2 linked regions of the Lytechinus pictus genome follow. The protein of the gene in region 2 purifies or fractionates together with the protein of the main gene of each other region. This does not show direct contact. Links are inferred from orthologs where the notes say so. Each region holds a gene or a part of one and is shown on either strand. Other genes may lie near its edges.

Region 1 (7,542 bases), about 6.0 Mb from region 2:
AACAGCATCTGTCGTAAAGCATCCTTTGCCCTAAGAAAAATTGGTAAAATTCGAAAATATCTCTCAAAGTCATCTACTGAAGTCCTCATTCATGCATTTATTAGTTCACTTCTTGACAGTTGCAATAGCCTGCTCCATGGAATTCCAGAAAAGAATATTTCTAAGCTGCAGAGAATACAAAACTCTGCAGCCCGTCAAGTTTCCCTCACTAAAAACATGACCATGTAACACCTACTCTTAAACAATTGCACTGGCTCCCCATTAAATTTCGTATACAATTCAAAATTCTACTCCTAACATTCAAATCTCTTCATGGACATGCTCCAAAATATCTCTCTGATTTAATAGGCATATACTCCCAGTAGGTCCCTTCGTTCTGCAAATCAAAATTTCTTAACAGTCAAAAAAGCAAAAACTAAACTTTTTGGTGATAGGTCCTTTTCAAGCTCTGCCCCACGTCTTTGGAACACTCTTCCAGCTTCCCTCCGTTGTATCCCAAATATCACTTCGTTTCGATCTAATTTAAAGACGTACCTCACGAAGAAAGCATATTCAACATAGCCCCATTTACAGTGTCCTTGATATTTTTTATTTTTTAGTAAAATGATTTCTAATTTCACTTATGTTTGTATATTTAGTATGTTCTACATTGTAAAGCGCTTTGATATGATTCCATGAAAAGCGCTATATAAGACTAAATTATTAAGTTATTATATTGATTGATATGTAAATATTTTTTTTTACATCTTATAATTTCACATTAGCATGCAAGAGGAAGTCATCTTCCAGGCTAGGATGAATCAATTATAAAGGCTTTCTTTTCATGCTCAATGCTTTGACCAGTGAAAATCACCCGTTTTGGCAGTTTGGCTGAAGAGATTCACAAAAGAATACGCCTACATGACGTCAATTAAAATGGTTAGAATCACTTATTTCATGTTCTATGGAGATAAAAAAAGTACTTTTTCAGTTCACTTTATCAATTACTTAAATTAAAATAGGCCTATTATTTATAGTTTCTGAATCCAAATCCTGCAATTAAATGCAGTATATATTGTGTGTCGTACGGGACATTGCCAAAAATAGGATCGGAAAAATCAGGGCTGCCCCTAGTATGGATCATGAAAATGTTGTAGATATTATTTGGAACCATCAATGATACATTTTCCATTGACCTGCAATATTTTCAATCTTCTTGTGCTTTGCCAATAATCATTTCAGGCAGTGTTTGTAGTAACTTTGTACTGGACTATTTAATTAGCAAAATTATTGAAAATTGAAAATTCCATTGTTTTCCCCCCAAAAAAATAGATCTGACTTCACTTTTGGTTAAAACTCATAATTTTCATAAAATTTAGGTATCATAGTAAAATATTACACTACTTATTTTTGAAGTTCTAGTGTGGAATCGCCCTTGGGATCTTACATTACAGAGAACTTATTTGGTGAGCTTTTAAAAACTTTAAATGAGTCTTTAGTTTAAAAATTAAGGGTTTTATCAAATAGGTGTATTATCTCCAGCATCGCAATTGGCCAATACGCGTCACATGACATCCAACTTTTTGTGCATTGCACGGCAGCGCAAAAGGTGCGCAACGAAAATTGACATTGCACGCTCAAGCAGACAAGTGCGGTAGAAGTCCCGGGAGAAGTCCAATAAAACTTCTGCACTGTAACTTTTTAAGAATTTGTTTGTGTTGCTATTTTATAAAACAAATAATGCACTCGCTCTATCGTGCGCAAAAGTAAATGCAGAGAATTTGAGAGAAAGCTCGGTTTCTTCAGATGGTGCACACTGGGCACTCGCTGCCAGCGGCTAGTGCAGTGTGGCACCTATCAAAAGAAACCTCACGTGCTCTGCATTTCCACTAACGCACTCGGCTGCAAGCATTATTTGTATGTTATAAGATAGTCGTGTCAATATTAGTGCACTTTCGCACCCCGAAGTCAGTTCGCAAGCTTCGTCAACAGCGAGCACCGAGGCTGAGCTAGCCAGGAGGCTCCTACAAATCATTTACTAACGTATGCTTACTCTCCATGGAGCCAGGAATTCCTTCCGATTCATCTGCACGTACCGCCAAAAAACCTGAAACTTTCGCTCCTGAGATTTGTACTCTCCTAAAAGATCTAGCCCTTAATCATTTACATGGGATACAACTTCATTTCCGACATTTCTACGCTATCGATTTCATTTTTAAACAAGAATTCATCAAAATCAAATTCATCAATGTAACGTTGGTGAACAATAGTCAATACTTAGGTCAGGAAACAAGATAGCGGCATAAACATCGGGCAAGTCTCCTCCATCTTTTTGCAATATTTTTCTAATTTTTTAATGAATTCTTGTTTAAAAATGAATTTGATAGCGGAGAAATGAAGTTGTAACTTATAAAGTTATATCCCGATTTAGTTTTTTTTTACATGATTTAGGCGTAGGCTTATAATTAGAAGTAGAAATCTCGAGTCGGGGGCAAAAGTTTCAGTTTTTGACGGTACGTGCAGATGAATGGGAAGGAATTCCTGGCTCCATGGAGGGTAAGCATACGTTACTTAGTAAATGATCTTTACTCTTTAGGAGCCTCCTGGCTAGGGCTGAGCTGAGCTGAGTGAACTCCGGGCTGGGGTGCGAAAGTGCACTACCGCCAATGACTGATTATGAATCTAAATATTGGCGAAATAACGACGAATAGATCTACCTGCTTCAACCACAATACTGCCTGGTTTCAGTTCTAACTCGATCGTCAATAAACTGATATCTGGAAAATACAACACTTGAGTTCTATGAGGAAGATTTTCAGTCCATAACTCTGGAGTAGGATGAAGCACGTAAACCCATCCTTTTCCACCGACAGTCGATAATTTCGACCCGTAACGTTTCCCGATGATTTCAGAGTGGCGCAGGGCTCCGTACTTGGTTTGAGTTGTGCACCCAAAAACCATTTTTAGCGGCATCATCGAATCATGTCCAAGAAAAATTATCACTGTGTCATTAGGGCGAACCTTTTCCTCGTATCCTACAAAACTCATGATGATCGACTAACTACCAAATGACTTAGTTTGATAAGTTTTATTTTCAAAGACAAAGACAAGGTAGTCAGGCCCAGGGCTCAGGCTGCCGCAGTGCATTGGCTACATCCAGCTGCGCACACGTGTTATCCGTTAATGTATGGATCACCGATGGAGGGGAGGCCAGGGGGCACTAGCGTCATACGGGGGGGGGGGGGGGGCAGTCTGCCCCCCTGACGAGCCACAACCCATGCAAAGGACGTATCCATGCCCCCCTGACGAGCTTGAAAGACCTTTTTTGCCCCCCTGACGAGCTTGAAGACCTTTATTGCCCCCCTGACGAGCTTGAAGACCTTTTTTTTTTTTTCTGGTACTAAATCCTTTTATATTTGTGATTTAAGACCTTTTTTTTTTTTTTTTTGCTTGTCAATTTTTTTGGCTGACGGTTTTGCCCCCCCCCTGTGGAAAATCCTAGGTACGCCACTGCCAGGGGGGAAGGGTGAAGGGGATTCGATCGTACTGTTAGCTCCATATATGGTTCGATGATTATCCAGGTCCATGCAATTCAATTCTGTTATTTTATACTGGTACCTTGATGTACATGTATGAAGTTATTTGTCAGTTTATGATTTCATAAGTATTTCATTGTTGTTTATAAATGTTGAAGTCACTAAAAAGCAAATAAAAAATACAGGTTTTTACCTATTGGATTTGGAAATTAGGAGAGTACAGAGGCCAACTTACACCAAATATTTTTCCCCTGCTTTTGACAATTTTAATTCCCTTTTCATTGTTAAGAGCATGTCATCCACCTTGTAGTCATTTTTACATTGTGGAGGGCCTGTTTGCTAACTGCACCAATGACAGATTTTGTGACACTATTAGGGTCAATAAATTTGTATAAACCGTGCAGTTTAACAGAAGGTTAACCATCTCAAGATATTTTGAAATCACAAGGCCCTTATATTGCTAAAATTGAATAGAGTAGTTATCAGTTATTCGGTATTAGCAATATGCCGGAGTACATTGTTCAGATCATGGGTCAAGGTCAAAGGTCATTTCAGATCACTTAACTTTATATAAAATCAAGAAATTTGTGTGGAATGGTTTTATTGAATCAGAATATAAAATTTAACATGAACTTAATAATGTATTTAAAAGTCAAGATCAACCGAGGTCAATGAATTCTGTTTTTTGTTATCAAATATATTAGGCCCTATTTTGTTCTCTGAAAAAAAATATATTCCATGAAGTTTGCATAGTCCTATAGGAGCCTCCACTGGCGTAAATCCGTGTTGATGGGTGGGGGGATGACTGAAATATTTTGGCTTTTTTTTTTGCAATCATGTTTTTAGATATGCAAGGAATTGTCATTAGTGATATGTCCACAGTGGCGTACGGTGGGTCACGGCATTGGGGAGGGGGGCACCAGCAAAATGTTTGAATCACTGAGTGAGCGCGCTCAGTTGCCAGTTATACTGACCTAATAGAGACATTTTCTGGACAATGTCATTAAACGGATATGCATCTCCCTGATCAAATAATGCGAGCGCGAAGCGCGAGCTGATTTTTTTTAATATTCACACCTAAAAAGAGACATTATTGTCAAATTTGTGTAATCATGATAGGTACCTGTCTCGCTAAACAATACGAGCGCGAAGCGCGAGCTGAAGTTTTCGTATATTCTGACCCCATGCAAACAGCGATATTTTGAGGAATATATTTTAGGAATCCATTAAGAGTATGCATATCTCACCATAGTCATCTAATGCGAGTGCCAAGCGCTTGCTGGTTTATAAGAATTATATCTGAACACATGAAACACTTTTTGTAGTCATTGCAATCATGATTATCATACGCATCTCACTAATCAAAAATCCCGGGGGGGCCACTTACATTGACGAGTGGATACCATGCGCGACCAAAAAAACACGTAAAAAGGATGTCCTTTTCACGATAGGGCACGTAACGTACGTAACGTGATAAGGGTGTCAAAAACACAAAAATAATGAAAAAAGGGTGTCTATTTCGCTAGGAAAATTACGTGTTTAGGGTCGAATTTGCGGGAATGATAAAACAAAATTAAAATGTTTTATAAAGGATGTCCATTTTGCCCCAAAACTTCGTGTTTAGAGTCCGATTTGCGCGAGGTGTAGAAAGTGGGGTCGTACTAAACCAAATAAGGTAAAGCCGACGACCGAAGGACCCGTAACAATAAAATATTCCTGTACTTGTTTAGGGGTTCATTTCAGGGAATATTTGCCAAGAGTATCGTTTTGTTTCCAATACTTGTTAAGGGTAGGGTTTCACGCGCCAATACTTGTTAAGGGGTGCATTTTCAGAATATGGAAATTACGTGTTTTGGGTGCTTTTCGAGACCCCATGGTCGCGCATGGTATCCACTCGTGAATGGAAGTGGCCCCCCCGGGTCAAAAATTGCGAGCGCGAAGCGCGAGCTGAAAATTTAGATAATTCAGACCTGAAGTGGGGCATTCTAAGGTTTCTTTGTAGGAATTAACTAGGACCATACGTAATTCAATATCCAAATGATGCGAGCGCGAAGCGCAAGCTGAAAATTTTTGATATTCAGATCAGAAGAAGGGACATTTTAAGGACTGATTTTAGGAATTCATGAAGAGCAGACATATCTCACCAATCCACTAATGCGAACGTAATCACGGACAGGAAATGTTTCATATATACGAAGACCTTAACATGGGGCAATCACTTTTTGAGTCATGTAAAAGAAGCATATGTCATTACATAAAACAATGATAACTCAAGTGCTATAGGAAATATATTTGGTTTATATTGACTTGAAAACGGGATGTTTCAGTACAACAGGATTATATATCTCGTTAACAGACAATGCAAGCACCAGGAACAATGAAGACGTAGGCCCTGGGCAAATTATGTTTCATGAAGTTATGATAAAAATGTTTCTTATGTAATGTAACATAACATAATTATAATATAACATTATAATGAATAATATTTTCTTCTTTCCCACTATACGCTTCTCTTCTTTCTCCCTCTTTTCTCCTTTCCCCCTTTTCCCCGTTTTTTTTTTGTCAGCCGATTGGGGGGAGGGGCGTGCCCCCCATGCCCCCCCCCCCCCCGTAGTTACGCCACTGTATGTCCATATGGCAAATACCCCTCCAATATTATTATCTTTTTTACCCCATGATGGTTTAATGGTTTTATTAGAGATTACATTAAAAAAGAATTGACATTCCATCTTAATCCCTTCCCAAAGACCCCAACATTGATGAATTGGAAGAAACGGGAGTTTCTCTTCAATGTTATAATAAGGACATAAGTATTTCGTTTGGAAATGGTGAACTGGCTCTTTATTTGCATTTTTATATGATTCAATGATATTGTTTTATTTGTTAAGCGGTATTTCAGGAAGAATTTTCACCAATAAAACACTTATCTCTTGTGATTTTTTAAAAATTTCTTTCGTAAAAAGTGGGGGGATGTTTGTACTGGCCACCCCCCCCCCTCCTCCAAAAGTGGGGGGGATATATCCCCCCCCCATCCCCCCCGGGATTTACGCCAGTGGGAGCCTCAGTCACCCATTGTGTGAATAAAAACTTTCAGGTCATTGGACCCAGGTCAAAGGCCATTTCAGACCAAAATCTTGGATGAAATTGAAATTCAGTCCTTATTTCAAAAGCAAACGGTCATATCCATAGCACATATCAAGTTCATATAAGTCTAATGATCTGCTCAGATGGGGGTGGTAGTAGACTAGCGAGGTGGTCATCAATGTAACTTGATATTGACAGATCATAGCGTACTATCATACAACCTATTTCAATGAAAATAATATATACAGTGGTGCTTACAAGTTAGTGAACTTTACCAAAAAAATTAACCTATTTTAGCGTTCAAGTTCTGTTTTAAGAGATATCTAATTGTAGAGTCAGGTGAGAAAATATTACATTCAATAAATTTATCTGGGCTTGCCGAACATTGTACCGTTGTCTACATTCAACACTCGGTATGAAGGAGTGCAATTTCTGTTAGGGTTCACTAACTTTTGAGCACACACAACTGTATTAGTAGAGCGGATAAGCCGAACCAAATTGTGCAAATTATGACTAAAGCATGAAAGTATTAGTATATGCCGTAAGATTTATTTTAAAGATGAGAGGTAAATTTATAAATGCCATTTTCGGCAACGGATTAATTTCTAAAAAATAACATACATTCCCATGTAAATGGTAAATAAACATGATATAGATGACCAAAATGATAATTTTTAGGCTCCCAATTGAATACATATGAAATTTAGAAATATTCAAGATCACCAAGATAGTTCAAATTGGTCCGTTGCCATGTCAACGGCTTGTTTTTCCCCAGAAAAATAAAAATTTTGATTAAAAAAACGTTGTAGAATATGATTTATCTTTATTTTCCCCTAATTTTACAGTGCTAAACAAAGATATTTTGGTTGCTAAATGTGTAATTTACATTTCAAGCCATTGCCATGGCAACCAAATAACATCTAATTTAAAAAATAACAAATAA
Region 2 (7,514 bases):
TTCAACCTCGTGGTGATAGCGGACCCCGCCGTGAACTTTTAAAGATCGTGCTACTGACGGAGCTTATTGCGTTACTCTCTTACATCGTTTATGATGATATACATTTTATTTTCAACCTCGTGGTGATAGCGGATGCCGCCGTGAACTTTGAAAGGTCGTACTATTGACGGAGCTCATTGCGTTACTCTCTTACATCGTTTATGATGATTTACATTTTATTTTCAACCTCGTGGTGATAGCGGACCCCGCCGTGAACTTCAAATTGATTTGAAAACGCTAGCTACCCACATGACCCAAAACATTTTAATAACATATTTCAAATCATCGTGCGTGCTTGCGTCGTCTACTTCATTTTAATTGCACTTAATTGCGACTTTAAGATGATGCGTCGTAAGAGATCATTCCAATAATTCTAAATCGCTAGCACCTAAAAATACTTCTAAAAGATGTCCCGCCGATCGTTCATTAACCTGTGATCTATGAGAAATATTTTCATTTTATTTTCCTTTGCGCCTTTGCTCGGAAGATGCGTCTTTCGTTTATCTTTCTAATAAAAATCACTCGGTTTATTTTAAAGCAATAACACCTCAAAACCCCTGGCTTTAAAACATGTTCCATACGATCGCGCATGTTGGCGACTTCCATTCCAATGCATTCGTCTTTGTGACTTTGTCAGGAAGATGCGCGTGACCGCGAACAACATTTTGATGTATTCCTTTGTTTTTAAACATCGCCGATTCGATTTTCGATTCGATTTCGATTTTAGAAGCTTAACTGCCGATCCGATTTTTGATCCGATTTACAACATTACTCTTAAATTGGATACCCAAATTCTTTACAAAAGTCTCTGATATTGGAGATAATCTCCCACATTGGAGACAGTCTCCAATATTTATTGGCCGTGCGCCTCTACTGTAGAAGAGTAAAAATGAGCAAAGTACATGAAATCTATCTAGGGCCTATATGGATATTGCACGTTTTCATCTACCTCGAGCGAAGTTCGTGCAGGCTCCACTCCACTTCACTACCGCTACACTATGCTCTACCTACCCGAACTTCGAGACCATGAACTCGATCGGATATTCCGAGTGACAAAAGGTGGGATTTTATGGGGAGAAAATACAAAATTCATGCAACATCACGATCTTTAAAAACAAGTACAACTAATATTCTTACTTTACACAAAGTTTCACTTCTTTTCCTAACCCAGAGAGCTCCGGCCCGCGTAGCGGGCCGGAGCCCAGACGCTCAGTGTGCAAACGGGCATTCAGGTGAGAGTACCGTGAAGTTTGGTCAAAATAATTTTGATAATAAATAATTAAAACAGAAATTAAGCACTTACCACGATTGTATGGATGATAGTCTAACGAGTGGCAGTTTCCTGACATCGAGGCACAGACTGGAACCTCAAAAAACGATCAGTTCTGTCGCGGTGGCTCTCCTTCTTTCAAAATTCATAGCAAAATGGCCGTTCGAGAGGGTGTAGGGCGCATGCGCGAATTTGACAAAGTCTATATGCGCTAGTGCTATACTAGCCTCGGTCTCGATCGGCCATTTTGTGTTGAATTCTGAAAGAGGAGAGCTACCGCGACAGAACTGATCGTTTTTTGAGGTTCCAGTCTGTGCCTCGATGTCAGGAAACTGCCACTCGTTAGACTATCATCCATACAATCGTGGTAAGTGCTTAATTTCTGTTTTAATTATTTATTATCAAAATTATTTTGACCAAACTTCACGGTACTCTCACCTGAATGCCCGTTTGCACACTGAGCGTCTGGGCTCCGGCCCGCTACGCGGGCCGGAGCTCTCTGGGTTATTCTTTTCCATGCTTCTATCAGTCTCAAAATTGATGATTTAGAGCCAACATGAAGTTTCTCACACGTATAAATATTAATGCGCTGCCGACTTCAAAACATCGCATGCGGGAGGGTCTGGTCCGAGCTCGGACCCTCGCGCGCGCGCGCATGCGATGTTCTGAAATTGGCAGCGAATTATAATATTTTACGTGTGAGGCCTGAGGAACTTCATGTTGGCTCTAAATCATCAATTTTGAGACTGATACTGATAGAAGCATGGAAAAGAAGTGAAACTTTGTGTAAAGTAAGAATATTATTAGTTGTAGGCCTACTTGTACATCTACTTGTTTTTAAACTAAAGTAAAGATCGTGATGCGATGTTGCATAAATTTTGTATTTTCTCCCCATAAAATCCCACCTTTTGTCACTCGGAATATCCGATCGAGTTCATGGTCTCGAAGTTCAGGTAGGTGGAGCATAGTGTAGCGGTAGTGTGGAGTGGAGCCTGCACGAACTTCGCTCGAGGTAGTTTTCATCGCCCGTCGCCGTCGGACGCGAGGCGAGCGACCACGATCGTCAGATCATCAAGGCAACTTACAAATATTTGAGTTCATGGGACTGATACTGAAAGATAATGTTTCAAATAAAAAAAAACTCACTCTTTTTTAAGAGCTCTGTACACTCTCAAGGTTTTATCTTTCTTCAGTATGACATTGTCACCCTCCGCTATCAAATTTTGATGATCCATCGAAGTGGATGAATACAAATCACACAAAACAGCTGGATTATTGAATGTGAACACGGCATCTACGACCTCACGAGTTAGTGGATTCTCGGGACAATTTTGTACATGGTAGGCACTTTTGATCCAAGTTTGAAAGGAGACTCGTAAAATGACGTCAGTCTCGCCGATGAATATTCATTAGATCGTGGTCGTGCGTGTTCAATACACACTGCGTGCAGGCATGCAGATAGTTATATGCGAGGAACTTTGGCTCCAGAGACAAGTTGTCAAATAACGTGTGTGTGTGTGCGTGTGTGTACCATCGGCTGGTAGTATGCCATGCTGTCTAAGACTTCAAACGCGTCGGAGAGAGTGCATGGCAATTCGGTAAAACGAAGTTTCCGATACAAAGAGATAATAAAATAACACTATGGACAGTACGCCCGGGGGTGCCACTTACATTGACGAGTGGATACCATGGATACCGTTTCGGTCGCATTGATCTGCTACAATTTTGGTGAAAAGCGGCCGTAGAGCGCTTTTCGACCATCGCCTAAGCGCGAGCGCACCCGGCGGATCGAGGCCGCGCTAGCTGCGTCAGCATGCACGATTGCCCGTTCCATAGGGATGCATACGCATTCACAGAGATATGGAGATCCGTTCCGAGGACCCCCGTTTTCACAAACATTTGTAGTTCCGAAGCCCGTTCCGAGGACCCTCCTTTTTACAATAAGCCCACTCCAAGGCCCCCGTTTTTTGCCTCGCCCGCGGCACACCCCTACCACTTTTTTGGTCGAGTGCCCCCCCGGGGGCACGTTACGTACGTAACGTGATAAGGGTGTCAAAAACACAAAAATATTGAAAAAAGGGTATCTATTTCCAGTACGTTGAGAGGCAAATGTCAGATCAGGGGAGGCAGGAGTACAATCAGGTTTTTTTTAAGGGAAGAATAGTGTAGAATAAAAGGTATTATATATACCCAAATGATCTAGGTGAGGGAAGTGAACAATGATGTTTTTTAAAAAAAGAATGAATATACCTTACCTGAATATTATGGTGAAGCCAATTTAAAAGGAGGTGAGGCAAGTTTCAATGGAGGTTTATAAATAGAATAAACTGTACTACAAATTATGGTGAAGCCAATTTAAAAGGAGGTGAGGCAAGTTTCAATGGAGGTTTTTAAAAAGAATAAACTGTATTACAAGTTATGGTGAAGCCAATTTAAAAGGAGGTGAGGCAAGCCTCAATGGAGGTTTTTAAAAAGAATAAACTGTATTATGGTGAAGCCAATTTAAAAGGAGGTGAGGCAAGTTTCAATGGAGGTTTTAAAAAATAAACTGTATTATGGTGAAGCCAATTTAAAAGGAGGTGAGGCAAGTTTCAATTGAGGTTTTTTAAAAGAATAAACTGTACTACAAATTTGAAAGGAGGTGAGGCAAGTTTCAATGGAGGTTTTTAAAAAGAATAAACTGTACTACAAATTTAAAAGGAGGCGAGGCAAGTTTCAATGGAGGTTTTTAAAAAATAATAAACTGTACTACAAATTATGGTGAAGCCAATTTAAAAGGAGGTGAGGCAAGTTTCAATTGAGGTTTTTAAAAAGAATAAACTGTATTATGGTGAAGCCAGTTTAAAAGGAGGTGAGGCAAGTTTCAATGGAGGTTTTAAAAAAAATAAACTGTACTACAAATTTAAAAGGAGGTGAGGCAAGTTTCAATGGAGGTTTATAAATAGAATAAACTGTACTACAAATTATGGTGAAGCCAATTTAAAAGGAGGTGAGGCAAGTTTCAATGGAGGTTTTTAAAATAAAGAATAAACTGTATTACAAGTTATGGTGAAGCCAATTTAAAAGGAGGTGAGGCAAGCCTCAATGGAGGTTTTTGAAAAGAATAAACTGTATTATGGTGAAGCCAATTTAAAAGGAGGTGAGGCAAGTTTCAATGGAGGTTTTAAAAAAAATAAACTGTACTACAAATTTAAAAGGAGGTGAGGCAAGTTTCAATGGAGGTTTATAAATAGAATAAACTGTACTACAAATTATGCAATGGTGAAGCCAATTTAAAAGGAGGTGAGGCAAGTTTCAATGGAGGTTTTTAAAAAGAATAAACTGTACGTATTACAAGTTATGGTGAAGCCAATTTAAAAGGAGGTGAGGCAAGCCTCAATGGAGGTTTTTGAAAAGAATAAACTGTATTATGGTGAAGCCAATTTAAAAGGAGGTGAGGCAAGTTTCAATGGAGGTTTTAAAAAAAATAAACTGTACTACAAATTTAAAAGGAGGTGAGGCAAGTTTCAATGGAGGTTTATAAATAGAATAAACTGTACTACAAATTATGGTGAAGCCAATTTAAAAGGAGGTGAGGCAAGTTTCAATGGAGGTTTTTAAAAAGAATAAACTGTATTACAAGTTATGGTGAAGGCAATTTAAAAGGAGGCGAGGCAAGTCCGTTTTTAAAAAGAATAAACTACTACAAATTATGGTGAAGCCAATTTAAAAGGAGGTGAGGCGAGTTTTAATGGAGATTTTTAAAAAGAATAAACTGTACTACAAATTTGAAAGGAGGTGAGGCAAGTTTCAATTGAGGTTTTTAAAAAGAATAATACTGTACTACAAATTTGAAAGGAGGTGAGGCAAGTTTCAATCGAGGTTTTTAAAAAGAATAAACTGTACTACAAATTATGGTGAAGCAAATTTAAAAGGAGGTGAGGCAAGCCTCAATGGAGGTATTTAAAAAGAATAAACTGTATTATGGTGAAGCCAATTTAAAAGGAGGTGAGGCAAGTTTCAATGGAGGTTTTAAAAAAAGAATTAACTGTACTACAAATTATGGTGAAGCCAATTTAAAAGGATCGAGGTGAGGCAAGCCTCAATGGAGGTTTTTTAAAAGAATAAACTGTATTATGGTGAAGCCAATTTAAAAGGAGGTGAGGCAAGTTTCAATGGAGGTTTTAAAAAATAAACTGTATTATGGTGAAGCCATGCAATTTAAAAGGAGGTGAGGCAAGTTTCAATTGAGGTTTTTTAAAAGAATAAACTGTACTACAAATTTGAAAGGAGGTGAGGCAAGTTTCAATGGAGGTTTTTAAAAAATAATAAACTGATGTACTACAAATTATGGTGAAGCCAATTTAAAAGGAGGTGAGGCAAGTTTCAATGGAGGTTTTTAAAAAAGAATAAACTGTACTACAAATTATGGTGAAGCCAATTCAAAAGGAGGTGAGGCAAGTTTCAATGGTGGTTTAAAAAATAAACTGTATTATGGTGAAGCCAATTTAAAAGGAGGTGAGGCAAGTTTCAATTGAGGTTTTTAAAAAGAATAAACTGTACTACAAATTTGAAAGGAGGTGAGGCAAGTTTCAATGGAGGTTTTTAAAAAGAATAAACTGTACTACAAATTTAAAAGGAGGCGAGGCAAGTTTCAATTGAGGTTGTTAAATAGAATAATTAGTGTCATAAATATTATGGTGAAGCCAACTTGAGAGGAGGTGAGGCAAGTGCACAATGATGTTTTTACAAAGATTGAATCTAGTATAGTGAAGCCAGCTGGAAAGGAGGTGCGGGCAATTATAAGTGTACAATGATTTTTTTGAAAGAATGAATAGTATGAAGCCAACTTCAAAGGAAGTGAGGCAAGTGTACAATGAGTTTTTTTGTTAAAGAATAGTATAGAAATATGAATAACGGTATACATATGGGGAAGATGGGGTGGGACAAGTACCACGAAATAATCGTTTTTATATTAATGAATCCGAATGGTGTAAAATAAGTGGAATAATGCAAAAAATGAGAGACAAGTTTAAATGATGATCGGTTCAGCAAGAATCATCGGTGAGGTTTTTTTTTATCAATCATGTAAAAGTAGTTCAAATAATATATGAAAAGGCCAGTGCGAATGTGAAAGGAATGACCATAGATAGGAAAAAAGAGTTGAATAGGTCAATGTAACATGAGGTGAGGCAGGTTTATAATGATGTCGAGGGATGAGATGGAGTCGCGGTGCGATTTGCTAAAACAAAGTCTTAACGAGTAATGTGTTCGAGAGTGAGTCAGGGAGAAAGGGAGAGAGAGAGAATGAAGGAAAAGGACTTTGGAATAAGATTGGAAAAAAAAATAACAAGGAGAAGAAAAAAAAACTGTATCTAGGCCTAGAAAATCAAGTGAACCCCTCCCCGCAAGGACCATAAGAAAATGGATATAAAATAAAAAAATTAAACAAAATAAAAAGGGGGTAAAATACAGTATAAGATGACTACTTACTAACGGTTTTGTCTTATGTTGTTAAGTGCGAGAATGATAAGAAACGGTAAGTCGGCCCAAGAGTAGTCTAGTACCACGGCTTTAATTAGAAACTTCAAGCAATAAACAGGTCAAGAGTTTAAGTTCAAATTTAGGTTTTATTTCAGGTTTATTTTTTATTCAGGTTTTATTTTTGTATTTATGTAATTACATTGTACAATATTTGTATGTTTTTATGGCCAAATAAATAATAATAATAATAATAATCAAAACTACATGTTATCAGTGAAGTAAAAATGAATCAACAAAGTGTATCTAGTCTCTCTAATTCAGATCAGGGCCCTGTGATTTTTGAAGTAGGGGGTGCTGATTCAAACTTGAAAAAAAATATTATCAATACAAAATGGATGTCAAACAGTCGCGAGTAATTTGAAAAGCTTTTGGTTTTAATTTACCCTTTCTATTTTAACACATCTTCTAGAATACCCGGGGGAGCTGCCAACCGAATAATACACGCAGCACCCCCAAGGAAATGTTTGGTGGTGCCCGAGCACCCACGCTCCCAGGGCCGGGCTGCGCCATATCGCTTCAGACTCTGCATTCCGCAATTGCAAAAACCATAGGCCTGTGTCTGTGCTGCATGGGCCGCGTTTAGCCATCCGTTCGATTAGCACCATTGGAGGAAAGTAGAGAACAATACCATAGTCTAGGAGATAGGAGGCTTTATTCAGAATTTTTGGTGGGGAAGGTTTGA

What was found.
Region 1: the proteins of tRNA (adenine(58)-N(1))-methyltransferase non-catalytic subunit TRM6-like (region 2) and tRNA (adenine(58)-N(1))-methyltransferase catalytic subunit TRMT61A-like purify together in Homo sapiens (affinity purification with mass spectrometry; 4 studies listed by BioGRID and IntAct, counting the BioPlex papers as one, with this or other methods). This does not show direct contact. The link is inferred for Lytechinus pictus from reciprocal best matches to the Homo sapiens genes TRMT6 and TRMT61A.

The regions. Positions count from the first base shown.
Region 1 is NC_087251.1:10,839,155-10,846,696, reverse strand, and holds the start of tRNA (adenine(58)-N(1))-methyltransferase catalytic subunit TRMT61A-like, read right to left. Parts: upstream 3,169-7,542; 5' UTR 3,028-3,168; coding exon 2,697-3,027; intron 1-2,696. UniProt on the Homo sapiens protein: Catalytic subunit of tRNA (adenine-N(1)-)-methyltransferase, which catalyzes the formation of N(1)-methyladenine at position 58 (m1A58) in initiator methionyl-tRNA.
Region 2 is NC_087251.1:16,793,090-16,800,603, forward strand, and holds the start of tRNA (adenine(58)-N(1))-methyltransferase non-catalytic subunit TRM6-like, read right to left. Parts: upstream 3,120-7,514; 5' UTR 2,545-3,119; coding exon 2,456-2,544; intron 1-2,455. UniProt on the Homo sapiens protein: Substrate-binding subunit of tRNA (adenine-N(1)-)-methyltransferase, which catalyzes the formation of N(1)-methyladenine at position 58 (m1A58) in initiator methionyl-tRNA.